Linked DNA regions of Diceros bicornis minor. The protein of the gene in region 3 interacts with the protein of the main gene of each other region in a pairwise test. Links are inferred from orthologs where the notes say so. Each region holds a gene or a part of one and is shown on either strand. Other genes may lie near its edges.

What was found.
Region 1: the proteins of REL (region 3) and UBE2K interact in binary tests that used the Homo sapiens proteins (3 or more experiments, as listed by UniProt). The two-hybrid records come from large-scale screens. The link is inferred for Diceros bicornis minor from reciprocal best matches to the Homo sapiens genes REL and UBE2K.
Region 2: the proteins of REL (region 3) and ATPAF2 interact in binary tests that used the Homo sapiens proteins (3 or more experiments, as listed by UniProt). The two-hybrid records come from large-scale screens. The link is inferred for Diceros bicornis minor from reciprocal best matches to the Homo sapiens genes REL and ATPAF2.
Region 4: the proteins of REL (region 3) and PIH1D2 interact in binary tests that used the Homo sapiens proteins (3 or more experiments, as listed by UniProt). The two-hybrid records come from large-scale screens. The link is inferred for Diceros bicornis minor from reciprocal best matches to the Homo sapiens genes REL and PIH1D2.

The regions. Positions count from the first base shown.
Region 1 is NC_080747.1:32,620,233-32,627,656, forward strand, and holds the start of UBE2K (ubiquitin-conjugating enzyme E2 K), read left to right. Parts: upstream 1-4,410; 5' UTR 4,411-4,593; coding exon 4,594-4,656; intron 4,657-7,424. UniProt on the Homo sapiens protein: Accepts ubiquitin from the E1 complex and catalyzes its covalent attachment to other proteins. In vitro, in the presence or in the absence of BRCA1-BARD1 E3 ubiquitin-protein ligase complex, catalyzes the synthesis of 'Lys-48'-linked polyubiquitin chains.
Region 2 is NC_080757.1:1,434,933-1,442,861, forward strand, and holds the start of ATPAF2 (ATP synthase mitochondrial F1 complex assembly factor 2), read right to left. Parts: upstream 3,003-7,929; 5' UTR 2,863-3,002; coding exon 2,730-2,862; intron 531-2,729; exon of another isoform or gene 427-530; coding exon of another isoform or gene 345-426; intron 1-344. Other genes in the region: GID4 (glucose-induced degradation protein 4 homolog), read left to right, coding at 3,498-3,686. UniProt on the Homo sapiens protein: Plays a role in the assembly of the F1 component of the mitochondrial ATP synthase (ATPase).
Region 3 is NC_080751.1:26,337,960-26,345,938, forward strand, and holds the start of REL (proto-oncogene c-Rel), read right to left. Parts: upstream 3,003-7,979; 5' UTR 2,795-3,002; coding exon 2,785-2,794; intron 1-2,784. UniProt on the Homo sapiens protein: Proto-oncogene that may play a role in differentiation and lymphopoiesis.
Region 4 is NC_080746.1:24,219,449-24,226,392, forward strand, and holds the start of PIH1D2 (PIH1 domain-containing protein 2), read left to right. Parts: upstream 1-3,926; 5' UTR 3,927-4,042; intron 4,043-4,836; exon of another isoform or gene 4,837-4,852; 5' UTR 4,853-4,878; coding exon 4,879-5,055; intron 5,056-5,652; coding exon 5,653-5,776; intron 5,777-6,159; coding exon 6,160-6,405; intron 6,406-6,736; coding exon 6,737-6,944. Other genes in the region: uncharacterized protein NKAPD1, read right to left, coding at 460-560, 2,408-2,476.

The DNA.
Region 1 (7,424 bases), on a different chromosome or scaffold from region 3:
AAAAAAAAAAAAAAAAAAAAAAAAAAAAAAAAAAAAAAAAAAAGAGTTAAATGAGAGGCTTGGGTAGAATAGGCAGTGGTGAGAGAAAGAAAGGAAAAAAGTCTCAAAAGGCTGGCAAAACACAAGGTCAGGAAAGGGCTATAGGAAAAAAATTGCTCTGCATTTAGAAGAACAGGCAATTTGAATCTGAAGAGCAGTAATAAAAACTAGCAGGAGCTACAAAAAGGAAGACTCGCACATTTCGAACGTTGGCAGTTATTATCAGGGGTCAGCAAAGCCCTATTACGCCTTGTTGCATTTTTTTGAATGTGAATCAACACATCAAAACACATTGTTCTGTTAGGGGCAGCAGAAGAGTTACCAGATTAACTTTCCTTCATCATCTAAAACCAATTTTACAACTTCACATACATAATGTTTATGTAAATTATGTATTCTGAAAGGGTGTGACTTTTTAGATTTAACTCTCGTGTCTAAGCAGTACTGTATACTCAAATATACTCAGGACTCCTTTATACTCTTCAAAAATATTGAGGATTCCAAAGAGCATTTGTTCATGTGGGTTAAACAACATTGTGTTAGAAATTAAAACTGAGAAATTATTGAAATATTAATAAATAACTATAATAAACTCAGTACAGGCTTATGTAAGTAATATATCTTTAGTGAAAATAACTGTATTTTCCAAAACAAAATCTCTTTAATACCTAGCTTAACAGAACAAAGCTGGATTTTCACATATGCTTTTGCATTCAATATGTTGCATATGTTGTTTTTATTGAAGTATATGAAGAAAAGCCAGCCTCCAATATAGTTGGAAAGGGAAGGAATATTTTAATAACTTTTTCAGATAATTGTGGATATTCTTCTTTAATATTACATTAAATCAAGACAAATGGTCGTTTTGTAAAGATTAGTTGCAATGTAGAATCTGAAATGTTATCAGTGAACTTTTGGTATTCTGTTACATTAAAATCCATTGGCCCGTCTTGAACCTCCAGCGGATGTTTTACCCATGCGTGATTTTGTAACATCATGCACTGGTCACTTGGAAAATATTGGTTCAATGGTTTATGCAGATCTTCCAAATTTTGACACATTTCATTGTACAATTTCAAGCAATCACATTTGTTATTATCACCACCAATTTAATCAGAAATGTCTTTAAGTGTATTGAGAAGTTGCCAAGTTACAGTGGTAGATATGTTTTCGAAAACTAATTTTCAGTTGAAAGGTTGAATTTTATCATTGGCAACAAATTCTGCCAGTTGTTTTCCTTGAAGTGACAGGCTCACATGTTCATTTTTGATAAAACGTCTGTAAAATACCCAACTCTTAATAAAGATAGTTTGTCTCAATCGTTATTTTAAGTAAAAATGGTGTTCCATGAAAAAAGTGGCTAGTTCAGCTCACAACTCAACCAACTGCACAAGTGCTTTACCATGTACTTTGGTATGCAGTGGAAGGCCTTATGTATCCTTCCCAAGTATCACATAGACCATTAAGAAGACGTACTTGAAAGTTGAGGTTTAATAAAATTAATAATTTCTACTGCTTCATCAAAGACATTTTGAAGTGGAACTGGCATTTTTTAATAGTGAGTGTGTGGCATTAGTAAAATTATTGGTAGTACAGTAATTGTTTTTGCTCAGTATGCTTTTACATCATTCGTACAAGTGTCAACACAGTAAAAAGGCAAATAATGTCTTAGTTTTATAATGATAATAGTTTGGGCAATGCAGACTGACCCCTGAAAACATCTTACGGACACCCAGGTGTCTGCAGACTATATTTGAGATGAATTCTTCTCATCCCTGCCAGAATGTAAATCTTACAACTTGAGAGGTTTTTTTTGTCTCTTGTTCACTGATATGCCTCCAGGGTCTAGATCATGCCTGGCACATAGTAGGCACTCAATACATATTTAATTAATTAAGTAATCAATCAGAACTAGATCATAATAATGAAGAGCTTATAATCTGCATTACTGGAAACCCATTTTAAAAAATTTAGTTTTGAATAGGTAAAATATACAACAGGATACATGGTGAAAAGTCTCCCACTTTGCCTTCCCCTAGGCACTTAAGTTGCTTTCTCAGAGACAACCACTGTTGTCAGTTTCTTAACTATTTTTCCAGTGATATTTTATGGATTCACAAGCATTATATACACAAGAATATTCCTTTCTTCCCTCACGCATACGGTGGCATATTATACACATTATGGACTGCATAGTGCTTTTTTAAAAGTAAACTTTTTCTTTTGGAATAGTTGTAGATTTACAGAAAAGTTTCAGAGATTCTTGTATACTGTTTACTCACTTCTACTAATATCAACATCTTACATAACCATAGTACCATGTCAAAATTAAGAAATTAACATTGGTTCAATACTATTAACTAAATTACAAAATTTATTCGGATTTCATTAGTTTATGTCCTTTCAGTTCTAGGGTCCAATCCAGGATACCACATTGGGTATTTAGCAAAGTGCTTTTTTCCCTTAAAATGTATTTTCAGGATTGTCTCATATCAGTTAATATGCAGTTGCCTCATCCTCTGGAAGGACTGCAGAATGACTCCCTAGAAGCAGAATTTCAGGGCCAATGATTATGTGCATTTAAAAATTACCAAACCCCTCTTCCCCAAAGAAATTACCATACCCTTCTTAGCAGTCCCCCCTGTGATTTGAGTGTTGCAAGCTTCTTTGAAGTTCCAAGATTAAGACTGGGAACTGAATGAAGGTTATAAATGTAACGTACTCAAAAAGTTTCTTTGCACACTTCAGAATAATTATTTTTAATGTACTGGCACAAATACAGATATGTATCATTGCATGATTTACATTATACCAATAACTCGTACCATGACCCACATATATAGTTGGTTCCTGTTGGGACCACTAGGGGGCTCTGCTGGAAGGGTTTTTATAATTTATGTTAGTCCACTCAGCGAAATGTTTCGAGATAATGCTTTAGAATTCTGAACTCTTAAAACTCGAAAGACATCATCTATTTAACCCAGCTTCCTTATTTTGCAGATGAGGAAACCAAGGTTGGCCAAGAAAGCTGGCATGGTGGAGAGCTGGAATCAAAAATCCACTCTTGGTCCCCGTGGCAGGAGTTCAAGAAACTCTTTGCCATGTGCCTCCACTGATGATTCACACCAGGGGCTATTTCCTTTTTTGCTGCCACAATTTTAGAAATTTTTGCTACGACTATATATTTGTGATATTTTTCTAATATGATACTTTACTGATGGGTTAGGTGAAAGAAGTGCATGAAATATAAACTTTATTACTTATTCCAAAATGTTCTATTCGAAGTACCTCTCAGCACCAAAACCATATTATTTACTGTAAACCCTAGAAACTACTTTTCAATTGCCTTTCAAACTTACTTTCCTCTTAAAACATTTTACTTTTATCTTTACTCATTTATTCATTCAATATTTATTGAGTGCCTACTAGCGCTAGACACCGTTGTAGTCCCTAGGCTTCGGAAGCAAAGCTACCCTTCTCCCCAAAGAAACAACTATTTCTCCATTTTTCACTTTAATACATAAACTACCTTCACATGCCTTAGTTCAGTGGTTCTCAGAAGCAGCCAGCATCTGGGAACTTGTTAGAAATGTAAATTAGGCCCACCCCACACTTTATGGATAGGGTCCAGCAATCTGTTTTTTTAACAAGCTCTCCAGGGATTCTGATGTACACTCAAGTTTAAGAACCATGGTTTTAGTTCCACGGCTTGGTATTAGTTATCTAAGTAGGTCAAAGATCAACATCTGGCTTCTAAACCCACTTCAGGCATCTTCATGGAGTACTCGTCTCAAATACACCCGATAGGACCCAACAATGACCATATTTAATTCAGTGATTTGCAGTACCTTAAATGACCATAATAATAGTGACACTACAATGGTTTCAGAGCAAACACTGACCGCAGCGGATTTTCTGGGCCTATACCAACAGAAAGTGGGCCGGACTGAGTTCTGGGATAGTGTGTTCGTACATTAGACACAGCCGGCCACATCAAACCTCGAAGTTTTGGGTCTGGGAGTCAGGACGGCGCTGCAAGACAAGTGGGGCCGCGTGAACCCGTCAGGTTGGACCCGAGCCTTCGGTCAGAGGCTAGGGGCTGGAAGCCCGGACAACAACGCACCGGTCTGAAGATGGGCGGAGGCGCGGGAGAGGCCGCGGGAGGCCCCGGCAGAGCCGGTCAGCACGCAAGCCGCACCCTCCTGGCCCCAGACGCCAGCAGGGCGGAGCCACGCGGCCGCAGCTCGGGCAGTGGCGCGCGGCGCGGCGCGGCGCGGGCTCGCGGCCGAGGCGTATGGGGCTACAACGGGAGCGGCTGCGTCGCCCGGCCGGGTCAGCGTCTTGCGCATGCGCGGACCCGGCGCCATTTTGGTGGCCGGGCGCGGAGGTGATTCTACATTGAGGAGAGCGCGGCGGCCAGGGTGGCAGTGGCAGCGTTCGTGTGCTCGGGTGTGAATCGCCGAGGGAGGAGGCAGTGGAGGAAGCGGTGGCGGCGGTGGCGGTGGTCGTAGCGGTGGCGGAGGAGGCGGGTACGAATCAGCTGCGGGCGGAGACATGGCCAACATCGCGGTGCAGCGAATCAAGCGGGAGTTCAAGGAGGTGCTGAAGAGCGAGGAGGTCAGAAATGAACTCCCGGACATCCCCCACCTCAGCCCTGGGCGGGAGGGCCCTTCCGGCGGCGACCCCAGTATTCCCGGTAACCCCCGGGTCGCCCTCCTTGTGGCCGCCCTTCTGCCTGTGGGGAAGCGGCAGTCTCCCCCTCCTTCCGCCGCTTTCCCCTCTCCTCCTAGGGCCCTGGGATGGACGGTCTCGCGGGCGGGTGGTCTGGAGAGGAACCCGGTTTGGGGGGGCGGATGGAGAAGGGCACTTTTCTACGGGATGTGAGCTCTAGAGAGAGCCCCGAGGCTGTGGCAACAGCTGGGAGTGTGGCTGTAGGGTGGGGAGGGAGCAGGCCGAGCCTGAGAAAACCCGGGAAGTGGGTTGGGGGAAGGGGAAAGGTGGTAACTGGATCCGGAGAGCCGCGCTGCTGAAAGGCCCACACTTTTAAGGGTATTCTGGGATATAGCCTGTCTGGCCTCCACTGTCCTGTCCTTAGGTATTGATGAAAGGAGGAGGACATTCAGAGTTACTCCCTCTTAGTTGGATGTTGGGAGAGAAGAGGAGACATGATGGGATACTATCTTATTTGAGTGGGGAATAAGGGAATTTTCACCTGAGATAGGAAATTAATTCCAAATTAGAGCATTATTTTATTTGCACTTTCCCCCAATTCCTAGGCCTCTTTTCTGTTGACGTCTAAAGCTTTTTGACTGGGTAAAGGCCAGTTGTTTGGTGTATTAAAAACGTTTAAATATTTTTAGCTAGGAAAAAATAACAGTATATGAGTAGCTTATTTCAAAATATTGTTTACAAGTTACCGATCAGAGTCTCTCCTAAGACAATGCCTCTGTGACTCTGTTGTGTCGTGCCATGAAACTTCATTATGATGTCCCTCATAGTTAACTTGATTCTTACTTTTGAAAAACAGCCATATTAAAAACATGGGATTTCACCAGATTAATACATTGTTATATCTTTTTATTAAGTGAGTAGATTTATCCCAAGATACCGTATCTGAAATGATTAAAAAAAAATTTTTTTGTCTCAAGCTGCTCTTGAGTCCTGCAGAATTTAAATACTCTAGCGTTGACCACATTTATTTATATAAGATATTCAAAATGTTCTAGTAATTTGATTCAAAATTGTGCAAGCATCAATACAGTTTTTCATACCCAAATCAACAATAATGTCAGGTTGTTTTTCCTCCTTGGATTTAACAAAGATTAAGAAGTAATACTGAAATGGTTATTTTTTTCAAGATGTCACATACCATTATTGAATGTATCATTGCTACTTGTATTTTTCTCTTATGTTGGTACTTTGATAATCTCAATGATTTGTGAAATTCAGCATTCTAAGTATGTGATGAGTAATTGACATAAGTTTGATAGCACTTGAGCTTTATTTGTGCTGCTGAATCTACAGTGATTATGTATCTTTCCAATTAGACAAAGAATAATTCTTTAAAATTATTGAAAAATGACAAATACTGACAGATTTATTGAATGTAGTAGTATATAAGTAATGGTCCGTTTTACAGAGCATGTGTATGAACTCTGACCTCTGTATTTGTCCAAGTGCCAAAACTCTGAATGGAAGGATGACTTTGTATTTTTGTGGTACAGTGCAAAAACAGAGTCATAAATGTCTGTGCTGATAATCAGTGAAACAATAATTCTAACTTATTTAATAAGAAAATATATTCCAGGATAGTAGACATATATATTCTTGATGACAGTTGTAGCTAATATTGTTACCAACAGCCTAAAACATTTCTTATAACGTTGTACAAGCCTGAAACTTAAAATAAGACTTCTAATGCTTTATTTTCTGTTACTTGAAAGTGGTCAAGTTACTGCTCTCATAATTCGTCTCTGCTATATATGAGGTGACTTTTCACCATCATATTCTTGGTACTTAACTTGAAGCTTAAAAGAAATCTTGTATTGCTCTAGTAATGCATATTGTTAAAATAATACTGCTCTTAATATGTTAGGGATGATGAAGCCTTGCTTCAAGTAAATGTCATAGTGTTTTTTAGAGGTAGAAACAGGAAATGCAAACAGACAAATTATTTTTTAAGAACAATATCTTTATAAATCTGGAAGGAAACTCTTCCAGAAAGTAAATTGCAAAGAACATTTAGGAGAGGGTTAGATAATTTAATCTTGGAATGTAACCGATAAATAGCTCTATTTTCATCAATATTTTATTTCATCGTTGTTTTAGTAGGCCCAGTTCTATAAATGGTTTATGTTGGTTATTTTCAACTCATTGAAGGACTTGTAGTACAGTCCATGTGTTTCCTTTTTAAGAATGTAAATGCAGTATTTTGAATGGCTGGTCAAGTAATCAAGTATTTCATCATGTCACCTATGTAAATCTCCAGTTTACCAAAGTTTATTTTATATGTTTGTGTTTACTAAGAAGAAGGGTTGATTTATGGACTTTTTTTTACCTTTTAAGTCTTTTGAAAAGATAGCTGATATTTGCTGAATTCTGGCCATAAGAAGTTGTAAGTGGCCATTCTTGGAGTGTGGAGTTAATTAAAATATAGCTTCAAGATAAATCGAATGTGAAAAGCAAGATGCAGAATAGTGTGGAGGAGGCTGTCATTTGTGTCAGAAGGGGGGAAATCTGTGTATTTGTATAGGTGAAAAGATTAGTGAGAAATTGGTAAAATTGATTGCTTTTGGTAGGAGGATTTGGTGTCTAGGGCAACAGGCATCAGCAGATCCCTTTTGAATTTTGAGTCACGTGAATTTGTTATTTACTGAAATAAAATA
Region 2 (7,929 bases), on a different chromosome or scaffold from region 3:
CTCGAAGCAGCTGATGGATCTCTGACAGCTGGTTCACAGACGGACCGCCACACAGCCTCACACAGATCTCCTCCAACACCTCAGTGACCCTTTCCTAACCCCCTCCTCTCCTGACAACCTTCAATGGCATGGCCATTCCTAAGCAGCCAAGTTCAGTCTGCTTGCCAACCGAGGTCTTCGTCAAGAAGGCCCAACTTGGGTTTAATCTTCCACTACTCCAAAGACTCACAGTCTCAAACTGGTCAAGTCTTTGTAGGGCACTCATAGGCCTGGTTGACATACTGCCCCCCACTGTGCTTCGCTCTTTCCTTCATCCATATTTTTTTTCATGTTTGACTACCTACCATGTACCAGGCACTTCCAAGAGCCTAAATTAGTGGCTCTGCAGTAGAAAGGAAAAGGAGATGGCAGATCAAGTGCCACCATAACGGGAAGTGGCCTCCACTAATCTAAATTAATCCTCCGCTCATGCCAACTTCAGTGAACTCTTGAATGTGTCCCCTCTGCCAGTGTTGCGCCTCCCTGGGATGCTGTAAAGGAAAAAACACAAAACCTCTTATTTGCCTTTACCTTTTCCTTTGGGGGTTTTCCCACCAATCAACTCTGCAACACCAGCTGGTGTCTACAATTTAATTAAGTTCTGACGCTATCTACCTGGAGTTAGTGTCAGATCCCACAGCCTAAGGGCTCAGCCCAAGACTGATTCCCCCCTCCCCCCATGCCCCACTTCAGACACCGATCGCAAGTCCAGGTTGTCACCTGTGCTTCTGACCTGTAAATGTGAGATTCCCAGGATCCCTCCTCAGGTTTGATTAATTTGCTAAAGCAGCTCACAGAACTCAGGAAAACATTTTACTTACTAGATTACCCGTTTATCATAAAAGGGTACAACTCAGGAACAGCCAGATGGAAGATGCACAGGGCAAGGTATGGGGAAAGGGGCACGGAGCTTCCATGCCCTCTCTGGGCATGCCACTTTCCTAGCACCTCCATGTGTTCAACAACCCGGAAACTCTCCGAACCCCGTAGTTCAGGGGTTTTATGGAGGCTTCATTACATAAGCGTGATTGATTAAATCACAGGCCATTAGTGATCAAGTCAATCTCTAGCCCTCTCCCCTTCCCAGAGATCAGGAGGTGGGGCTGAAAGTTCCAACCCTCTAATCATGTGGTTGGTCCCCTGGCAACCAGCCCCCATCCTTAGGGGCTTTCCAAAAGTCACCGAATTAACATAAAGTCAGACGTGGTTGAAAGGTGCTTGTTACGAATAACAAGATGTTCGTTTCACCTTTATCACTCTGGAGTTATTTCAGGACAAAAGACCAAATACTATAACAAAATATTCTCCTATAGCTCTTATTGCCTAGTAAATTACAAGCGTTTTAGGAGATGTGTGCCAGGACAGGACGAAGACTAAATATATATATATATTTCTTATTATAAATCCCAATATCACAGATGCCCTTCCTTCCTCCTCTTTACTGGCTCTTCATGGCCCACCTCCAGGCCCTTCACCTGGGTCCTGACAGGTGAAACCCCAGCTCCCTGCTGCATCATCCCCATCTACATAAACTTATGGGACTTAACCCTCAGAGGCAACGTAGTCCTTCAACTCACAGAGGAAAATAAGGCCAGAGGAAGCAGTCACATGCCCAAGATCACACAGTACCTCAGAGGTTCAGCCAGCATCAGACCTAGATTTGTACTTCTGCCACACTGCCACACTGCCTATAGAGATCTACATTTTCTAAAGCAGACAGTGTTACACCAAGGTCCCTCAATCCCCACTGTCACCTCTGGACATGTTCTAGCCACCCAACACTCTTCCTCCTCCTCTACACCAAACTCCTACTCATCTATCAAGACTCAGCTTAAATATCCTTTCACCCAAGACCCTTTCTAGACCCTCAACACCCCTAAGATGGGAGTAGGTGCTTCTTTGTGTTCTCACAGCTTCTTTGCACTTCCCTTATCCAGGATATTATAAGCTGTTTAATCAGGATAGCATAACTTTCTGCACTTTGACAGTGAACATCATCCAGGTGAGAAGTATGTCTGTCTTGAAGACCATGGTGCCTTCTGCCCTCAGCACAGAAAAACTAATTGAATGGAAGGAGAGTGTTACCTACTCTTCACTCATTTAAGGGAGTCAGTCACTCCCACTCTTAAGCTAAGACCTCTCCCCAAAAGCAAAGAAAGAGCCACGACCTTCTTCTAGGCCTCCTTCTAGGTGGTAGGGCAGTAGGAGGGAGGGCCAGGAAACCTGCGGAGAAAGTGGCCGGATGGAAGACTGAATGCCAGGGTTCTAGGCCCCTTCTGCGCCGGGTCCTGGGGCCAGAGAAAGCAGTCAGACAGGCCGACCTTTGCCCTCCACAAAACTCGCAGAGTCTGCTCTGTGACCTTGGCGTAGTCCTGATCCAGAACCCGAATTTCTTTGTCCCAAAACAACGATGACATCTGCTTTCCTTACTGAAGAGAGGAAAGCCACAAGCTTTGAGAAAAGACGCACTTCCTAAATGTCAATTACTGACTCCGGCCGGGACGCGCTTTGTGCCCTGGGGTGGTCCCTGCTCTGGCCTGGGCTTCTCTTTCCCGATCTGTAACAGGATCCTGTTGACCTGCGTAACCTCATGAGCCCGACCCCTAACTCGGTTACCTCTGCCTGCACGGCCGAACCTCTCAGCCCGGCTCGCCCCTGGCCAAAAGGGAACGTGCCCTGGCCTCCCTCACCTGTCGGGGGTGCGTAGGCCCGGGCTTGGGGCGGGGGGGTTGGCCCCGGCCTCACGGAGGCGATGAGGCCACGCCGGGGCCCGTTCAGGAGGCGGCGCCCCTCGTCCCGCAGCCGGAGGCAGGTCCTCCACATCGCACCCGAGGGCCTGGGAGGACGACAGGCGCGAAACCTGAGAGCAGGAAACAGAGCGAAGGGATCCGCAGGCTCCGGCTGTACGGAAACCTCTCACTGCCTGCCCCAGAACCCTCAGCCTGCCCTGGACGCCGCCATCTTCCGCATGACACCAACGGCGCGCCGTCGCTCGCGCGCGCATCCTGCGCACACCCCCAGTCAATCAGCATCACAAACGCACCTCGCCCCGCCCCCTCCACGCCGCGTCTCGGGAAGAAGACTACAAGTCCCAGAGGGCCCCTCGCGCATCTCGCCACGTGTTTTCTACACCCGCCAATGGGTGGAAGCGCCGCGTGAGCCTGCTCCCGCCCCCCCGGCGCGCTCGAGCCAATTGGAGGGGGTGGTGTGTGTGCGAGGGCAAGTGGGGAGGGGGACTCGGCTCAGGACCAGGAGGCCCTGCTAGCAGGTCCCGGGGTCCCGGTGGCGGCCGGAGCGCTTGGTCCGCAGGCAGCGGGCGGGTGGTTCCCCCCTCCCGCCCCAGCCCCACGCGCGCGCGCGCGCCCCGGCCCCTCCCTCCCTGCCACCCTCCGCGGCTCCCGCGCGCCGGCGGCGGTTCCTCTCCCCTCCCCCCAGCCCTGGCTCCGGGGGACCCCGCGATGCCGGTCCGCACCGAGTGTCCCCCGCCGGCCGGTGCCTCGGCCGCCTCCGCGGCCTCGCTCATCCCGCCGCCGCCCATCAACACCCAGCAGCCCGGCGTGGCCACCAGCCTGCTTTACAGCGGCTCCAAGTTCCGCGGCCACCAGAAGAGCAAGGGGAACTCGTACGACGTAGAGGTGGTGCTGCAGGTGAGCGCCGGGCCGGGCCGGGCCCGAGGGCCTCCTCGCGGCGCTCGCGGGCCGTGCCCGCCCCCGGCTCCTCGAGCCCGCAGCCGCGGACCAGGCCCTCGCCACCGGGCCTCCCGCACCCGGCGCTTCACCCCCGGACCTGCCCAGCTGGTGTCTCACACGCTTCGAACCCCAACCCTGACCTGCCCCCTCACACCCGGAGCCTGTCGTGAGCAGCTCCTGGCAGACCCTGAACACTGTCCCAGACATGAAGCCCGTGACCGGCCCGCCTGGGATCCGGAAGCCCCTTATGACTCGCCACCCTCAGACCAGGGTCCTTCCTCTCCATGACCTGTCGCCCAAAGATCGGCCCTCCCTCGTTCCCTCTCAGATCTTGAGGAGCTCTCCACTGATTTCTCCTGACTCGGGACCCTCCCCATGGCTAGGCCCATGTCTGATTCTCCCAGACCTGAGACATGCCTCCTTGCCGCCTTTCCTCCCTCCCAGGAATCCTCAGGCTCTGGGGCCCTCCTCCTCCTCCTCCTAGGGTTTCGTCTTTGGGACGAAGCTTAATCAGCCCCCTCAGATCTGGGAGCACCCAACCCCCTTTAGCCCCTGAGAGCCCACAACCTACAACTGATTCCTGGCTCGTGCCCCCTCCCCCAACACCAGGCACTCACATCCTGGGTGCTGCTGGGAGAGCCTCCTCACAGTATGTTAGGTCTTGTGTCATGGGACCCCCTACTGCTCCAGTCTCTTCCTGGCTGGGACACCCAGGCCTCCTGCCCCAGGCTTCTCATACTCCTTACCCCTCTTTGGCCACTTCCAGTCTGCTCCCAGTCTCCCTGGCCTGCCTACCCAGATCTTCCCACCCCATGCCTTCGTCTTCCTCCTTTCTTGGCACCAGGGGACCCTCTTTCCCTGTTCTTAACCCTTACCTACACAGCCAGGCTTCCTGCCAGTCTCTGATACCCATGTACTGGAAATCTAACTCACCCAGTTTTAGTTCTCACATGGATAGTTCCTTCTCATGTCTATCCACCTCCCCCGATTTGACCTGGATCTCTGAGTGTCTGCTGCCAGCCCCTGATAGCTTTGGAACTACAGCTTCACCTGCCCTGGCCCTTTCCTGCACCTCATCCCTCTCATGCAAGTGGTAACACATTTGGCATTTTTTCCCCAGCCAAAGGAGATGGGCAGTGGTTAATGCTCCTTTTTCTCTCCCTTCCTTACAAAACTGTTCCTCCTTTCTACCTACCCTTGCCTGCCTTAGGACCCACTTCCCCCCTCCCTCTGCGCCTTTATCCTTAGCCTGACACCCCATCTCCTAGGCTGTTCCCAGAAGCCCGTCCTAACAGCTGTCCCCTTGAAAGGCCTTACAGAAGCTTTGAGGTCCTACTCTGCTGCCTTGCTGCTCCCATGTGAGGACAGAATGTAGGATGTGTCTTTTCCTTAGGCTTGCCCTTTGCTCTTTTGAAGTTTTAAATCTTAACGTCTCTTCTGAACAAGTAGATCTTCCACCCAAAAGACTGAGAGCATTTTCTTATTGCTAACTGCAGAGCATTGATCACCCTCTCTTTTCTTACTGTTTTGTTGGAATAAATATTTTTCTCTTTTTTTGACTGGGAAAACTACATCTTCATGTTAATTGTGTCTTTGGTCTATAAACTTACACTTCTGTTATGAGCCATGATATTTATTGTAAGTGAAAAACTATTGTGACTGAGGTATTTCTGTCTTCGTAATTGTAGGCCTCACGTGGTGATCCCCCATCCCTTTTGCTTAAAATGTGAGAATTTAGTATGAAAGTACAGGATTTTTTTTTTTTTTCAAGTAACTATAAAATTCTGCAAGTGAGATCCCTGGTGTGGTCGTGTTTGGAATGATCTTGAATTTGTGCCCATTGTTAAATTTGATGGTTTCTGATGTGGTTGGGGGACAACTGGCATGGTAGCTAAGTGTCAGAGAGAAGGCTGCTCTGGTTACTGTGGCAACTGCTGTCATTAGTGTGTTGTTTCTGAATTCCTGTCAGGTGCCAGTTTCCTTGTGAGCCAGTGGAAGCGGTGATTGAGTTGGTGCACGATTGCTATGTCTCAGGGCAGCCCAGAGCAGACACCTGGCGATGGCTGGAAGCCACTTGAGGAGGATGTCTGTGGCGGGTCGGGGGGTGGTCCTGCCCAGGAATGCTGCGCTGCATCTGGATTGGTGAGCTGTTTGTCAGTCATTGAAACAAGTCAGTGGCATGTGAATTGCCCCATCATCTGGTTTTTCAGCCAGGACTAGTTTCTTGGACTCTACCTTCCTAGAATACTTCTGCCTTTTATAACTCAGCCTCTTTCAAGCTTGCTTTTTTTCATATCAGCTTAATTGAGTTATAATTCACATACCGTAGAATTCACCCATTTAAGGAGTACAATTCAGTAGTTTTTAGTATATCCACACAGTTGTGAAACCATCACTGCAATCTAATTTTAGAACACTTTCATCACCCCGAAAAGAAATCTTATACCCCTTAGCCATCACCCCCCTCCAACCGTATGCAACCACTGATTTTTTTGTCCTAAGATTTGCTTATTCTGGACATTTCATGTAAATGGAATCATACAATATGTGACCTTTTGTGTCTAGCTTCTTTCACTGAGTATAATGTTTTTAAGGTTCAACCCATGTCACAGCATGTGTCAATGCTTCATTCCTTTTTATTGTTGCATAATAGTCCATTGTGTGGATATATGACATTTTTTTTAATCCATTGCTCAGTTGATGGATATTTGGGTTGTTTCCACTTGTTGGCTCTTATGAATAATGCTGCTGTGAGCATCCATGTACAAGTTTTTGAGTGGACAAATGTCTTCAATTCACTTGTGTTATACCTAGGAGTAGAATGCTGGGTCATATGGTAACTCTATGTCTAACATTTTGAGGAACTGCCAGACTGATTTCCAAAGTGGCTGCACCATTTTACATTCCCACTAGCAGTGTCTGAGGGTTCCAGTTTCTCCACATCCTCCTCCACACTTGCATTGTCCGTCTTTGTGTGTGTGTGTGTGTGTGTGTGTGTGAGGAAGATCAGCCCTGAGCTAACATCTGATGCCAATCCTCATCTTTTTGCTGAGAAAGATTGGCCCTGGGCTAACTTCCATGCCCACCTTCCCTTACTTTATATGGGACGCCACCACAGCATGGCTTGACAAGCGGTGTGTGTGTCCGCGCCCGGGATCCGAACCTGTGAACCCCGGGCCGCCAAAGTGGAGCGCGCACGCTTAACCACTGTGCCACCGGGCCGGCGCCTTGTTCATCTTTTTGGTTGTAGCCATCCTGGTGGGTGTGAAGTGGTATCTCACTGTGGTTTTGATTTGAATTTCCCTAATGACTAATGATATGTTGCTCATCTTTTCATGTGCTTTTTGGAGCACTTTCTTTTTTAGAGATTTCAGTTTGAAGAGTTCCTCAAACCTTTGTGAGATTCTGACGGGGTTTTTGTTGTTGTTGTTATTACTGTGACTGTTCTGTTTCTCCTCTGCCATGCAGGAAGCCAAGAGTGAACTGAAGGCCAGGGTCACTGTGAAAGAAATATTAAAAAGAGCAGCTGTTGGACACAGCTGTGCTGTGAAACCTTCTTTGCTAGACATTTGCCTTGTTCTCTTTCTTGTGGAGATGCTGGCCTGTCGTTTGGTTAAAGCTCTCTGGGTTGTGGTGTATTTGAGTTCACCAGTCGTCATCAGGATCAGTTTGGGCAGAATGAGCGAGACGCGTGGTTGAACAGAGGCCAGACTGAAATTCTGGTTCTTGAGCATGTGATAATCCAGGCAAAATGTTAGCCAGTTTACAGTTCAGTTTTTAATCTCATTAGCAGATACCCTTGCCACCTGATGCCCTTTCCAGCAGCTGTGAGACCCCAGACTGTATTGAATTCAGTGAGAACTGCATACATGAAGTTTGAGGACTCAGGTTAGAGCTGTGTGTCCTCTTAAAAGATCTTGGCTGAGCCACGTTAGTGCGGATCAGCTGCCTTAGGTAATGTCCAGTGCCAGGGTCAGCAGACGCTCTTGCAGTTTTCATGTGGAATACTGTTGTCACCAGCACCGAGCTGGGAGCACTTCAGCCTCATTGAAGCCCGCTGGCTGCGGTGCTGACCTCGCCTGGCTGACTGAGTTCATTACAGTTTTGGGGGATTGCCTTAGTATTTGATTTATGGTGTAATTGGAAATAGTAGATCCCTGAATCTGATAAATTCCACAAAATTTTTCTAATTTCTTAAAGT
Region 3 (7,979 bases):
TCATCGCTACATTTTCATGTGTTGCATTTCTGAAACAGCCTTCATGTTTATGTGCGTAGTCTTTTACTTAAAAGAAGTCATTTGCTTTAGCTATCAATTCCAGCTTCCAGCTTTATCATTAAAGATTGTCGCATCATACTTACATTAATTTTTTTCCCCTTACTCAAGAGAAATAGTTCTCTTGAAATTCACACTACAGACAGAGTTGGTAAGTAGTGCGGTTTACAAAAACAATTTCTTCGTGTACTTCCTATTATGTGACATAGCAGAACTATACTAAAGAAAACTGAATAAAAATAAATTACCTAAATTTTAAAACATATTTTACCAAAGACAGTACTATTTATTAGTAAATAAACCTATGTGCACACAAGAACAGGTTGCACTTTCTACTGGAGCAATGAGAAGCTTTAAATTCAGATATAAAATAGATAATTTAACTTATATTAAACAGAATAGAATTATATACATATACAAAAGTCATGATTGCCTAACTATGCATACCCTAGATCGGACTGGGAACATTTTTCTTAAAAATGCCTATTCTAATTAATCATGTCAAAAGACTGCAATCGGGATATAATTAAAAAAAAAAAAAAGCAATAAAGACAGCTTAATAGAACTCGAGCTGTGAAATCCTAAATAATTAATCTGATAATTTACCTGAACAAAATGTAGAATCATATATATACCAAAGTCCCAGTTACTCATGGTACTTATATAATTTTGCTTATGAGATTATGATCTGTTACTTTTTGTTATACAGATCACATATTCAACTACACATACCTATTTACATATGACATCCGGTGAAAAATGAAGAAATGGTCTTAAATGCTTGGTAATCAATAAAAATACTTTCTGAGGTTTTAATACTACCTTACTACAAACAGAATCCAAACTAGACAATGATTAACTAAGCAAATTTTTTTTCTGTTACTCGTTTGGTTAAATTACTGTTTCAAAACAGGATGGGAATTTATAATTTAGCGAATCTTTTTCTCTGAGGTCTTTACAAGTGATTAACGAAAGTACATCCAGGCTCCCTTTTAAAAATTTTGCTTAGCAGTTTTCAAATAAATGAATTACAATTTAAATAACTTCTTATAGTTTAAATAGCCCCATTTGAATGCAACTCCAGAAAAGGCAAACTTTTAAAAAAAGATAATTACCCTACAACTTTCCATTCCTTTAAATTTTTCCCCTTCAATTCAGGGAATACATTTTCAAAACAGCACAAAATATAATGTCATCAAACAAGTTTAAATTGTATCACATTTTTAAATGATATGGGTCTTACAATACTCTCTATATAAATGGTTAATTCTTTTCTCTGTCTTCTGAAAGAATTAGAAGTACTGCATTCATATTAACAAAGTTTGGTTAAACTGCCAGCAGGCTGACCTTTATTTATAATGCTCGCCATTCTTTACTTCTTTCATACAAAATCTCTTTCCGGTAACCAATAAATTAACCAAATATTTCAAATCATCTTTGCACTTTTCATCTAAATATGCTTTGAATTTATGAATTTACAAGATTATCTGAAAGTTTGGGGTCACTGAAGTGGGTAAAGAGAAAGTTGAAATATTTTAGACTACACTTGTATTCTCACATGAAAACCACAGACAAACTGAAATCAAATGTCATGTGAACCACCCCAATTTCCTTTTCAGCCTACAGCAGTAGCTACAGCATTGTTCTGCTCAAGCCTTTAAAAAAGTCCTTTATGCTTTCTACTTCCTCTTCTCTGCTAGACATCAGCCTTCTGAGGGTCACTGAACCAGGGAGCTGGGAGGATGCGGGTCAAGCATAAACAAGCCCCCCTCTTCGGCCTCCCAGTATAGTGTTAAGGTATACTTTTAGGCCTGCCTGCCTTTGCTCACGCTGCTGCCTCTGCCGGGAAAGCGCCCTCATGAACCTAGCCAGAATCCTGTCAAGGTCCATCTCCAACGCAGTCTACTTGATTTACTTCCCTTAGGTTACAAGTGGACCTAAACCTTCGCTGCATACGATATGAGACTCCCTCCCCTGACCTCTAGCTGTTTCTTGGTTAACTGGTTTACCCCCAAAACAAGAGATCCACGCACTTATTAACTGAAAATAAATATTTACATAAGTGATAGAAAGTTGTTTTCATTCCGACTCATATTTTAAAGCACGAGTACTCTAAAAATCCTCTTTTCCCCTTCTTTCCAACAAGGGGGAAAAACAAAAACAAAAATCGACTTCTGCTCCGTAAACTAGAAAGTATGCACTTTACAGTAAAAATTATCCACTTCGATCAAGCAACATTTCCACTTAAGACCTGTTAAAATACCCCTGGTGACTTTTAAAGCCGCACCACATTTTGCACAACTCGCAGCACAACGGCGATCACCCTTTGGCACTTGATGAAATTAAACCAAAAAAGGTAGAGCTCTCCTGAGGTCTGAATGTTCCTCATTCCTGTTCTAAAACCATTTCAATATAAATCACTTTTTAAATACGAGAATTCTTTGCCCTCCTTTATTTAGATTCTTATTACTTCCCTAATCCTAAAACCAAGTCGTTGGAAATTTCTAAGGTCCCAGCTATCATCATGGCATCAAATTACAGAGCGTGACTTTGATTTCGCACGCAAACCCTGAAGCAGGTAATTTTTTAAAAGGCCGACAATTTGCCAGAAGAGGCGATTTTAAAGACCGAATGTGCCACAACCAAAACTGCGCCCGGAAACTCTGGGCAGCAAGACCCTCGGACTAGCTCCTTCCCCCCGGGCCGGGTCGGCGCCGGGACACTCACCCGAGGCCATGGCTCCGCTCCCCGCGCCGCCCCGCTCCAAGCGTCGGATCGCACGCAGGCTGCCGTAGTCAGTGACCCGCCGCTCAGTCGGGCGGCCGAGGGACCTCTGCCGGCGGGACCCCCGTCCCCCTGACCACCCCCGGGGCCTCCTCCTCCTTCCCGGCCTCCTCTGGGTTTGCGGCTCACACCTTCCCCACCCCCTTAATTCTCGCGCTCCGGGTCACCCGGCGCCGCCGGTCCAGGCTGCGGAGCCAGGGACAGGGGGCGGAGCGCGGCGACAGCCGAGCACCGGAGAGGCCGACAGGCGGGCAGCCTGGCGGGAGGGGGATTTCCCGCGGCTGACGTCGGCCCCTCACCGCCGCCTTCCCGGGGGCGGGGGGCGGGGCGTCCTGGCGGCGGGCGCGCGCGCGTCCGTCCACGGCTGCCCGCGCTCCGCCCCGCCCCTGCCCCGCCCCCGCGGCCACTCCCGGCAGTGCGGCTGGCTGGGGACCCGGGCCGGGGAGCGGGAGCGCGGGATCTTCGGGAGCGCAGGGAACGCTGGGACCCGGGAGGTGACGGTCCCGAGCGTGCGGAAGCTGCCGGCTCCTGAGAAATCCCCCTCCTCCGGGTTGTTCTTCGGCGCGTGGTTTAAAGTTCAGGAGCAGGTGGGAGGGTGCGGTGACGTCGAGAGGGCCGGCCGCCCGGGAGCACTTGGGGGCGGGCCGGGCGGCGAAGTAGGGCTGGCCCTCCCGGCTGGGGGGTTCGACTGCCTGGGGTTTTCGATGGGTGGTTCCCCCTCTTCCCGATTTCGCACATGCAAATCGCCGCCCCCGCGCCGGCAGGCGGCTCGGCGCAGGCGTCCCGGTGCGCCCTCGCGGGGAAGTGCGGAAGCGGCTGTCGTCTGTATTCTTTTGTAATTCGTGTATTTGCATACGGGGACCCCCGCAGTCTGACTTTCCCCCTTTATGTCTAAAATGCGAGGGCTTTGTTAACTTGACGTACTTTACCTACTAAAACTTTTTAAACTCTTACGGTCCGCGCTGTGAGTTCGTTGTCTCATTACGCGGTGTGCTCACAATTAGTGAACTGGACAGTGTCTTGGCATTTGACGAGGATACCGACAAGGAAGGGGGGACTGGAACGAACGTTTAGTGTGTTGCAGGAATCTGGTGTAACTTGGTTTCCTTCATGTGCTAAGCACCTCCCATGTGTCAGTTTACCTCATTTATAAAGTAGTATTATCCTCATTTTATAGATGAGGTAATCGGGGTTCAGAGAAGTTAAGTAATACTTCGGAGAAGTTAAGTCAGTCCCTCAGAATGCTAGTAAAAAGAAAAGCACAGTTTAAACCCAGAAGCTGTCTGACTCCAAAGCTCTATGTCCTTTCCGCTATCCCTTACTGCCTAAAATAAGTCTGAAGGGGGAATGGGGAATGTCAGCCTGCCATACAGGTGCCAAGCTGGAGGACCCAGTTGGGGAAATAATTAAAAATAAAATCTACCAACCCCAAAATATCCTCTCCACAAAATGTAGAAAACTAGAAAAGAATGAAACAGCTTAATTATTGAATAAGCACACTGTGATGCGCTAAGGAGATTACAAAAGACAAAAAAAAAAAAATCTCACTTTATATAGCCATGGGGAGACAATCCATTACATACCTGTTGTCTTTATCCAAAGGAAAAATAATAGGAAGTTACATTTTTGGGGCCAAAAGCCGAGGTTTAAACTCCCACAGAGGAAGAGAGATGGGGCACCATCCTCCTTAATGTTCACATTTCAAAGAGATGGCTCCAAGGACCCCAGAAAGACCTTAGGGGAATGCAAAACTGGCAAGAGGCGTATTTAGGTTTTTAAAAGCTGTACAAACATTTAAGAGAGACAGAGAAATCATTTACAAATTAGGTCTTTCTAAAGGAATTGTTCAGTGAAAACGGAGAGGGTAATGTTCTCTGTCCTTTTTGGCACCAGGGAAATTTTTTAATTTAAGTTTTTAGGCTTTTATTTACCCTTACAACCCCAAATGTCAGAGCTGTAAGGGCAAACAGCACAAATGTTTAAGAATCCATTAGGAGAGTGAGGGACAAATAGGAATGGAAAATATTTTGTATGTGTTTGTTTATATTCCACCTCCAGAAACTGATTGGTTATTTAGGTGCTTCTTTAACTTAAGAGGGGATAATGTTTGTTTACTGAAAAGTTCTGGACCAAACAGAATCTGTCCCAGTTGCAGGACCCCAGACCAGTCCCAAAAGCACTCCAATCTATGAAATCACAAGCTGCACCTTATGAGATTTAGTAACACTACAGAATTTTGAACTAATTAAGTTTTATCTTTTATTTTTCAAAGACTCTGACTTATTTAAATCTCCTCGCTAAGAGGATGGCATGTTTATATTGATTTCCAGGGCTATTTTTATTTGTCACATGATTAAGCTGTGGATTTATATTATCTCACTTTTTTAAAGGTTTTTTTTTTGTAAAACCCTTTCACTATTTTTTGAAGTAGCTGAACCCTTTTTTCAAAGATCCAGTCCACATCTGAAAAGTGAAAATCTTTTACTTGTGCAGGATAAACTTAATTAGAAAAAAAGGAAGATTACAAGACAAACTGATGGATGGGCTAAAAACAACAACAAACAGTGATTTTGGTTTTCTTTGGGACTTATGCTGGGGAAAAATTTATTACTGTAAAGATAATAGGCAGCTAGTTGTTGGGGATTATAGAGAAGAATAGCACATGGTGTTTTTTCCCCAAGAGCTTACAGTTGTTGGTAACCGGTCATTCAGTTCAACAAATATCTACTCTGTGCCAGGTGCTCTTTAGGAGGTGGCACGTACACTAATAAACAAGACAAAATTTCTCCCTTCATGCAGCTTTGTCCCACGTGAAGACATCAAGTATGTTAGCAAATAAGATCATTTAAATTACTATTATTAAAATATTTGTTTCTTTATTGCTATAAAGAAAATAAAGCAATAGGATAGAAAGTCTGAGCAACCAGGTACAACGGAAGGCTGGTGAAGAAAGAGGTTTGAGAGGGAAAGATCAAGAGTTGTGTTTTGGACATGTTAAGTTACAGATGCAGAATGTTTAGACATTCCACTAAACAGTTGAATATGCAGAACTAAAGCTAAGGGGAGAGATCAGGGCTAGAAATAAAGATTTGGGAGTCAGCAGCATTTCATTTAAGATAATACCACCTAAAGAAGGAGTGCAGATACAGAAAAAAAAATTTAGAGAGACTGAGGATCCGCCAAGTCTTAGAGAAGTGGTGGAGAAGAAGGAGCTGCCAGTGAAGTAGGAGGAAAATGAAGAGACTGTGGTGTCCCAGAGAGTGTTTCAAAAAGAGTGAAAGTGGTCAGCTGTGTTAAATGTTGCTGAGAGATTGAAAAAGATGAGAATAAAGAAATGACCTTGGATTTGGCAAGATAAAGGTCATTAATGACCTTGATAAGAGCCATGTCAGTGGAATGGTGGGGATAAAACCTGAATTGGAGGAGGTTGAGAAGAGAATGATGGAAACAATGAGTATAGACAACTCTTTGAAGAGTGTTAAAGGAAACAGAAATGAGGCGATAGCTGGAGCGGTTGTGGAGTTGTGTTAGGCTAAGGGCTATCACTGACAGCTGCAGTCTCAACAGGTTAACATAATTAAAGTCTACTTACCATTTGAGTCACAGTCCAATGTGAATTGAATAACTTTCTTCCAGGAGTAACTCAGGGACCCTGGTGCCTTCTATCTTGTAGCAGCAACATGTGGCTTTCAAAGTCACCTTGGGAAAGGAAAAAGAGTAGAAGATCATGAATGGGAGATTTTTATAGGCCAGGCCTGAAAGAGGAATACATTACTTCTGATCACAGTCGACTTTCCATATGGCCTCCACAGGGGGCTGAGAAATATAATTTAAGAAATGTAATTTAGCTGTGTGCCCAGAAAGAAGAGAAGAAAATAGATATCAGTGAGCCCTAGCAGTCTCAGACACTGAAGTTTTGTTTTGTTTATAGAGGGTGATATTAAGGCATATTTGTATAAAGATGAAACTGACTCAGTAGTGAAGGAGAAATTGATAATGATAGAGAGGAAGGGGGTAATGGGTGGGGAAGGGAGGAAGGATGAAATCTAGAGCACAGGTTATGTGGTTGGCCGTAGATTGGAATGGGGGAACCGCCTCTATGGTAGCAAGAAGGAAGGCAGAGCACGTGCAGAGAACCTTTGTTTCTTGGGACTGGTTTGGTTATCAAATGTCCCACCATGTCTGGTTTTCAGTGTGTGGGATATCATACACCTTGCATTTGGATAGCTCTTTGGAGCCTATGGGGGACCACATAGGACCACGGTGATTGATTTTATTCTGAAATCTTGTTATAACTACATCTATTCAGCTTGATGACAGGTGTCTTTTTTATTCTTTCTAGAACAACAAAAAGTCTCTTATAGAGCAATTTCACTTTCTTTCTCTCACTCTCACTCTTTCATATTCTTCTAGGATCATAGACCTGGAACACGTCTATTTGCTAATCAGATTTGTTTCTTGAAGGGTGTAACTTCTTGATCGCTGCATCATTAAAAAAAAAAAAGATTTTATGTGTTTAAGGCATGTTCTTTTAGTATCAAGAGCAGTGGTTCTCCACCTTATCAGATCAGTGTCCACTGTTTTATAACTTATATTTGTAATATCCCCTTTACTACCCTGAAGTGAAATTCATAGATATATACCTTATGTATATATTTTCAAACAAAAATAATGCTCTAAGAGCAATATCAAGCGTAAATAAAATGAAAGCCATTTGTAAAAATATAATATTGACTTCAATATGTAAACACTTGGCATGAATAATAGAAAATATATATATTGGTCTTTGCCCCAGTTTCCTGGCACAGAGCTCCTAAATCCCTTGGAATTTTCTGGGTGATAGCAGTGTCTTTTGTCTAATGAGATGACTTTGGGTGGGCTCCTGGATGGCTCCTGGGTGGGGGCTGGTCAGTAGAAAAACCAGGCCATGATTAGAAGCTTGGAATTTTCAGCCTCATTCTCCAGAGAGGGGAGTGGGGCTAGAAATGGAGCTTATAATTGATCATGCCTACGTGAGGAAACCTCCATAAACATCCTGAGAGTAGGGGGTTCAGGGCGTTTCCAGGTTGGTGAACACGTGGAGGTGCTGGAAGAGTGGGTCTCCTGGAGAGGTCATGGAAGCTCCAGCGACCTTCCCA
Region 4 (6,944 bases), on a different chromosome or scaffold from region 3:
ATCCTTCATATTCAGATGCAAATTATTAAGAAGGTAATATGAAAGGCCGTGTGACTTGGCGAAGATAGTAAGTAGATGGGGTAAAAAAAAGGCTGAGAGAGAGAATGAAAGACTAATAGGGGAAGGGAGTGAATGATCAGCTAAGTGACCATAAGATACCAATAGAAAATCTTGAGTTAAAAGCCATCAGGCTAAGTCAGAATTCACAGAATCCTAGATGTTTAGAATTGTTCAAGGCAGAATTTTTAAATTCTCCATTGCAAACAAGTACAAAGAACGAGGCCATATGCATCACAGCCATTACCTTTATGCTTGGGTCTAGATTTATGAAAGAGAGGTGGCTTAAGGACTCACTGAACTGAATTCATCTATCTTAAGCACACTGAAGTGTTTTTAAACAAAAGGTGATGACTCTGACTAAGATGAGAATTATTATGGTTCTCAGAGCTGCAACTTCACCTTGAACTGCTGGGTAACATTTTCCTTTTGGTCCCCTGGTAAGCATCTTCCATCTGCTTCTCCAGTTCTCTTATTTTCCACATATCTGATTCCTCCTGAATCTAGATTTTTTTAAAAGGAAAGAAATAAAAATAATTTAACAAAAATAACACAGAAAAGTAATTGAAAATATGGTCTGCACTAATTATTGGATTACAGACTGGGTTACAATCAGGAACGTGGGAAGCAAATTCTGGTTTCTCTAGAGTGGTTAAACAATCTGACGCAGTAAATCTCAAATATGTAGAATTCTGCAGCAACAGAACTTTTTAACCCCTGCATAGACACACTTACTACCTTATAAATTTTGCAGTTATGCTGCAATTAGCAAATGATAATCCTTATGTTTCTAAAATGCTTTGTGATTTTAATTGTATCACCTCAAGTGAACCTTAAGCAATCTTATGAGGAAAACAAAGCAGGTACCATTATTACATCTTATTGAGAAGAAACAAAAGCTCAGAGATTTTATCAAAGTCAAAAAGCTAGTAAGGACAGGTCTTTAAACTTTCTAGGCTAAGTCTCTTCTCACAACATTATAATTTTTGTTAAAAACAAAATAGAACAAATGAGAACTGCTAGAGAATTTCCTGAAAAGCAAATTACAATTGCCCAAAAACAAGAATACATTTTATTTCTAAGTCTTTCTGTAATGTTTTGTTAAATCTGTGGTAGATTTATCTCTTTTAGCCCCCACTTTCAAATCTACGCTCATTATCCAACCAGGGGTGGTTTAACATGATGACAGAGGCTGCTTAGGTAACAGTTATACCCTCACTCACAATCAAAATATCAGGAGATATGATAGTAATAACACTTATGATCAAACTAGGAGTTGTACAGTTCACCAAAGAAAACCAAACAAGGATTCTGGGCCCTCTTTTCATCATATGTGCTCTCCTAGGTGACTTCATCTATTCTCATGACCTCTATCAATTCCTGTATATCAATAATCCCCAAACCTTTACATCCAGCCTCAACTTTTCTCCTTTCCTCCAAGTCTGAATTTCCAACTCTTTGGACATCCTATAAGCACCTCACCATCAACATATTCAAAAGCAAACTAATTACCTTTCCCATCATACTTGTCCCTTTTCTTTTGTTCCCTATCTCAATTAATAGCATCATCATTCACCCAGTCAATATATATAACACAAGGTGTTTATATTTGATTCTATAATTATCATTATCATCCAATAAGTCACCAAGTTCTTTGGAGTCTATCTCCTAAATTCCTCATCTTCATCCCTAGTATCACTGCTTTCATGTGAACCCCTCATTATCTCTCACCTGGAACATTGTAATTACCTCCTAATTGATCTCTCTACTGTTTCACCCTTCTGATCTAACCCCTACCCAGCTAACAAATCATCTTTCTAAAATACAAATGCAATTATGTCACATCCTGCTTAAAATCATTTGATGGTTTCTTTATTGCCTAGAGGAGAAAGTCTAATCTCCAAGCATCATAATCCAACTGTAATTTAGCACTCGGGCCTCATCTTCTGTCACTATCCCCCACATTCCCTATTTTCTGGATGCACACAATTTCTTGCCATGCCCCAAGTGCTTCATGCTCTTTCTTGTTGCCATCTTAGTACATGGTGTTCTGTCTGGAATGATCTTTTACACCTGGTAAACTTGAACCTGTTCATCAAGAACTAGTCCAAATAGCAGCAGCTCAAATACCACCCATTCTGTGAAGCCTTTCCTAATTCCCCAAGGCAGATTTCATTATTCCTTCCTCAGTGCACTAAAGCACTTTGTATACGTCTCTAAGTACTTATCAAATAGTATTATAATTATCTATTTTATTCATCTTTTGTATCTCCCAACTGTACCAAAATAATGCTTGGCACACTGCATGCCCTCATTAAATGCTGAGGAATAACTAGGTTCTACCTCTCACCTTATTGTGAGCATCTGTGTGCCGGATGACATTCCTCAGGAGGACTTTCCCCAATGGAACCCGGGACATTCTTCAATCTGAAATGAATCAATAAATAACATTTAATAATAAAAATTCCCTTTAACACCTTGTCTTTTATTACAATGCTATAAAGAAGCATAAGGTAAAGGAAAGATCACTGAACTCGAAGTCAGAGATCCTGAGGAACAGTTTTTCCTTCACCATTACAAGGGGAAAAAGCCTGACCACACTAATGTGAGGATGAAAGGAGATAATGTACACTGGAGTTCTTTGAAATTGCACAAAATTAAGTGCTTTCAAAAGCAAGTATCATTTTATTTAATCCTCAAAATAACTCTATATTTTATATGAAGCAAGTATCTTCATTCCTACTTTATGGATGAAATTTCCTTCAAGCCATAACTTGCTCCAGGCCACACAGCCCAAAGCAAACAAGGTCCTGATTAGAAATCAACTCTCGCATCCCAAAATTAGTTTGCGATGAAGCAAATACCTAGATTTGAGAGTGTCAGGGACCACAAATGTCAACAGTAACAAAAACCGACGCCGAAAAACATCGAATGCAGAGATGCCCTCAATTTCTCCACCTAGGGGAATTTTATTTTCTATTTTGACAGGGATATTCACGTGTGCACTAGCAGGGGCTTTGTGCAACCATCCCCCCGCTCACTCACCCCTCGATCCTGAGGAAATCAGGCATCTTGTTAGTGTGAGACGAAGAACCACTCCATTACAAGATCTCCTCCGACCCAGGAAGCCAAGGAGTCAGGGCTCAAAGGCAGCTCTGCAGCTTCACCCGAGTCCTTCGTGAAAACGCAGCCTTCCCACCGGTTATTCTGCCCTCACCCGCGGCCCAGGCCGCGGCGGCCTTTCCCCCAGCCCAGGCCGACAGCAGGTACCTCTCCGGACTGAGGCCTGAGGCTGCGCCGGCGAGGGATCCGGACGGTCGGGGCGGCTGGGGCATGCCCCGCTCACGCTCCTCTGGGACGGACCCAGGGGGTGGGTTTCGCTCCCCAGAAAGGATGGGGACGCTTTGGAAGGGTATGACCGTCCACTGGGTCCCAAGAAGTATCTAAAGTGCCTGAAGGGGGAGTTGAGTCTTCCAACTGGAAGACAGAGAAAATACCCCCATTTTTGTCACCGGGATCCCTGCTCCCCTGGGGCCACAGAGCTCCCGGTAACCTTCCCTCCACACGCCCTCCCCACACAAATGCACACAAACACACCCATACCGTGCGCCGCAGCCTCGCGTGGCGGGGGTGGGGGGAGGAAGCGGTCTGGGAGGAAAGGAAGCAGGCTTCCCTTTCAGGCCGGAAGTCGTGCTCCTGAGAAATTCTTCCCACCAACAGGAGACCCAAAAAGACTCCCACAGGGAGGGTCTCCAGGACGCGCTAGAGGTCGACAGGTGCAGAAGGGAGACGGGCGCCTTCCTGAAAAAGAAGTGGGTCGGGCTCAGCTGAAAAGCAAGCTCAGCATCAGAAGAGGGAGATCCCTCCGGAACTGGATGTAAAAAGACCTTTCTGTCTGCAGCTTCCCGGACCCAATTAGAGGCTGTACCCAGCCTGGTTACCCTGGTAACAGGTGTAGCGGTTTGTCAAGGAACTGAGAGAAGAGGTGAGTCGGGCGACCTCCGGAATGGTTGTCGGTTAGTTAAGTTTCCCATTTAGTCTAATCCTAATATAGTGTTCGAAGAGCCCAGACCTCCTCTTCTTCTCGTTCTGTGGATGCTGTGGGACATCTCTCCAGTGAGGGAGGAGGGTGCGAGGGAGGTTATCTCCAGTCAGAGAGGATATTATTACACGCATATAGTGTTAACCAGGTGTTCAGCCTCTCTATATTAGCTTACTTAATCCTCACAATAACCCTATGAGATAGGTATTATCGTCTTCATTTGGGGGACAACAAACTGAGGCACATATATAAATTATTTCTCAAGGTCACACACCTAGTAAGTGTGGAGCTACGATTGGAATCTAGGCGTTCTGGCTCTCGAGTCCATACTTTTAAATACTAAGCTGTGCTGAGGATTGAGGAAGTCGCATGTGGCCCTCACTCCACACACACCCCTGGCAATTTCAGGACTGGATAGGTACCAGTCAGCCAATGCCCAGGTACTGGAATGAGAAAATCACCAGGAAGTCCAGACTTAAAATGACTACTCTGTCCCCTCAGGGCTTGTGAGGGTCTAGGCAGAGGTAAGGCCTTATTTGAGAGGACAACTTGAGAATTTAGGAAGGGTTACTAGATAATTAGAGAATAAGGAAAAGATAAAGTGGTGCTGAGCCCAGTTTTTTCAGACACAGGTGTTAAGGATAGCTGCTAACTTCACCCAAACAATTCCTGACATATTCCTCCTCCCCTAAAAGAAGAAATGAATCAATAGTTACAAAGACTTTTTTTCCCTTAAGTCAAGTCTTTCCACAGACGTAAGAGGCCTATTCACTGGAATCATGGAGTCATCCTCAAAGGGTCTGCTCAGCCAAGTTACTCAATTCTGGAACCTCCTAGATGATCTGGCTGAAAGTAATCCTGAGAGCTATGAGAAGTTCATTCAACAGCAATTGAAAGAGGGGAAACAACTCTGGGCTGCCCCAGAACCGCAGCTCTGTCTACAAACCAGGATCCTGGTATGTAGAGTTGGTGCCCAGGGATGGGGAATGAATGAAATGATCCTGAAATAACTGGAGAATAGCTTACCCTTAGCTATTGCTACTTTAACACAAGAAAACTTGACGGAAACTGCCACTCTAAGTGGAAACAGTAGTGTGGAAGATTGTTTTGAAGGAGTAAGAAAAGGAAATTCATGTTTGATATATTTTGGAGATCTCAAAATGAGCTATTTTTCTGCTAGAATGAAAACAAAGAGTAATGTGATGATTTAATAGAGAATCATAGAGTTGGAGATTTTTCAAATAAAGAGAATTTATTTAGTGGAGGAAGAAAGGAAGTGGTGAAACAGGGTCAAACGAATTCACCTGGAACAGCTGCTTAGATCAAGTTCCCCTTCCTCCTCCCAGTTCCTCTGGGAGCAGCCACTGGATTCTTGATAAAAAGCCAGCAGCTTTGGGGAAATCAGGTAACAGTATAATTTCTCAAACACAGTTTTAATACATGGAATGACTTACTTGGAGCCTAAAATTCTCACTCTTAAAATTCTGTGACCTTTAAGATATTTAAAAACAAAAACCTAGGTTTTGAGATATGCAAAATTATTTGCTTTCTAGAAACCAAAAGAAAAAATACTTTTTATCAACCTATGTCAGTGGAAAAGGATCCCAGCTCCCCAGTCAACCACTCATCCAGTACCTCTAAGTATTGGAAGACCAGAAGATATATCTGAGACATCAGGTACACAGAATTATGGGAGAGAAAACACATTTAAAAATTTTTATTGGGAATAAGAATGGACCAGATTTTACTTGGTAAAAGGCATTACAAGTAAAATATTTTATTTGGTTATAAAGTAGTTAATGACTAAGTGTACCTTTATGCAAATTGAATACTGTTTAATTTTTCTATTAATATGAGCTGTTTTTAACCCATATAAAATGCCACAAAATGCCCTAATTGGAATTTTGTGTATATAGCACCGTTAGGATTGCCTCTGAAAAATACAAGAATAAAATTTATGCTCTCTAGCTTCATCAGGATTATGGCTTAATATATTACCTGACAATATCCTTAGTGAAACAAGTTGTCTTCATCTCACACCCTCTGAACTACACACACAGATCTTTACACAGTCATCGATGTTGCCTACAATCCTGATGTTCTCCAGGCAGCAGAAAAGGACCAAGTGAAGAAAGATCAATTAATATGGATGGCCATGAAATGCATTGAGGAGCAACTCCAATTCACTCTCTCACACTCTTACCATATTACCAAATTTAGAATAAAAGGAAGCATTGAAAGGATGAAACAAAATCTGATGGGAATCCAAACTGACCCCACAGATTTAAGAGAGAAAATGAGAAAGGGTAAGTTAATGAATGTAAACTGAAAATTAAACTGATTTAAATTTTTCTGCATCCTGTGTATATTTTGCAAACTAGAACTCTCGATTTTAAAAGAAACTTAAGATAGAAAAATATAAAGATTAGATATTAGCATGTCCTTAAAGATTTTTAAATCCTGTATACTTTTAAACCAGATTCTTTGGTTTAAGATTCTTTTGATTTAAGATTCCCAAACTAATTTAGCTGCAGTTTTATCTGCCATCTTGGCTAACACTATTATAGGTCATAGCCTGTTAGTATTTTCTGTTGTTGATTAATTGTGTGATTTCATTTCCCCCCTTTTTTCATCAAGAACTAACCCTTGAACAGATAAGAAGTAGTACTGTGAGCAATCCAGATCACTCTCCTCAACTTTTACTGCCAAAAGACCAAGTTTCGGGCAAAACAGGGTGTCTGATAGAAGAGATTTCTAGTGCAGAGATCCAGGTGGAGATGAAGACACCAGACTATGAATTAAAAATTGTGGTGGATCAAAATGAAAAACCTCTGAAAATTGAATT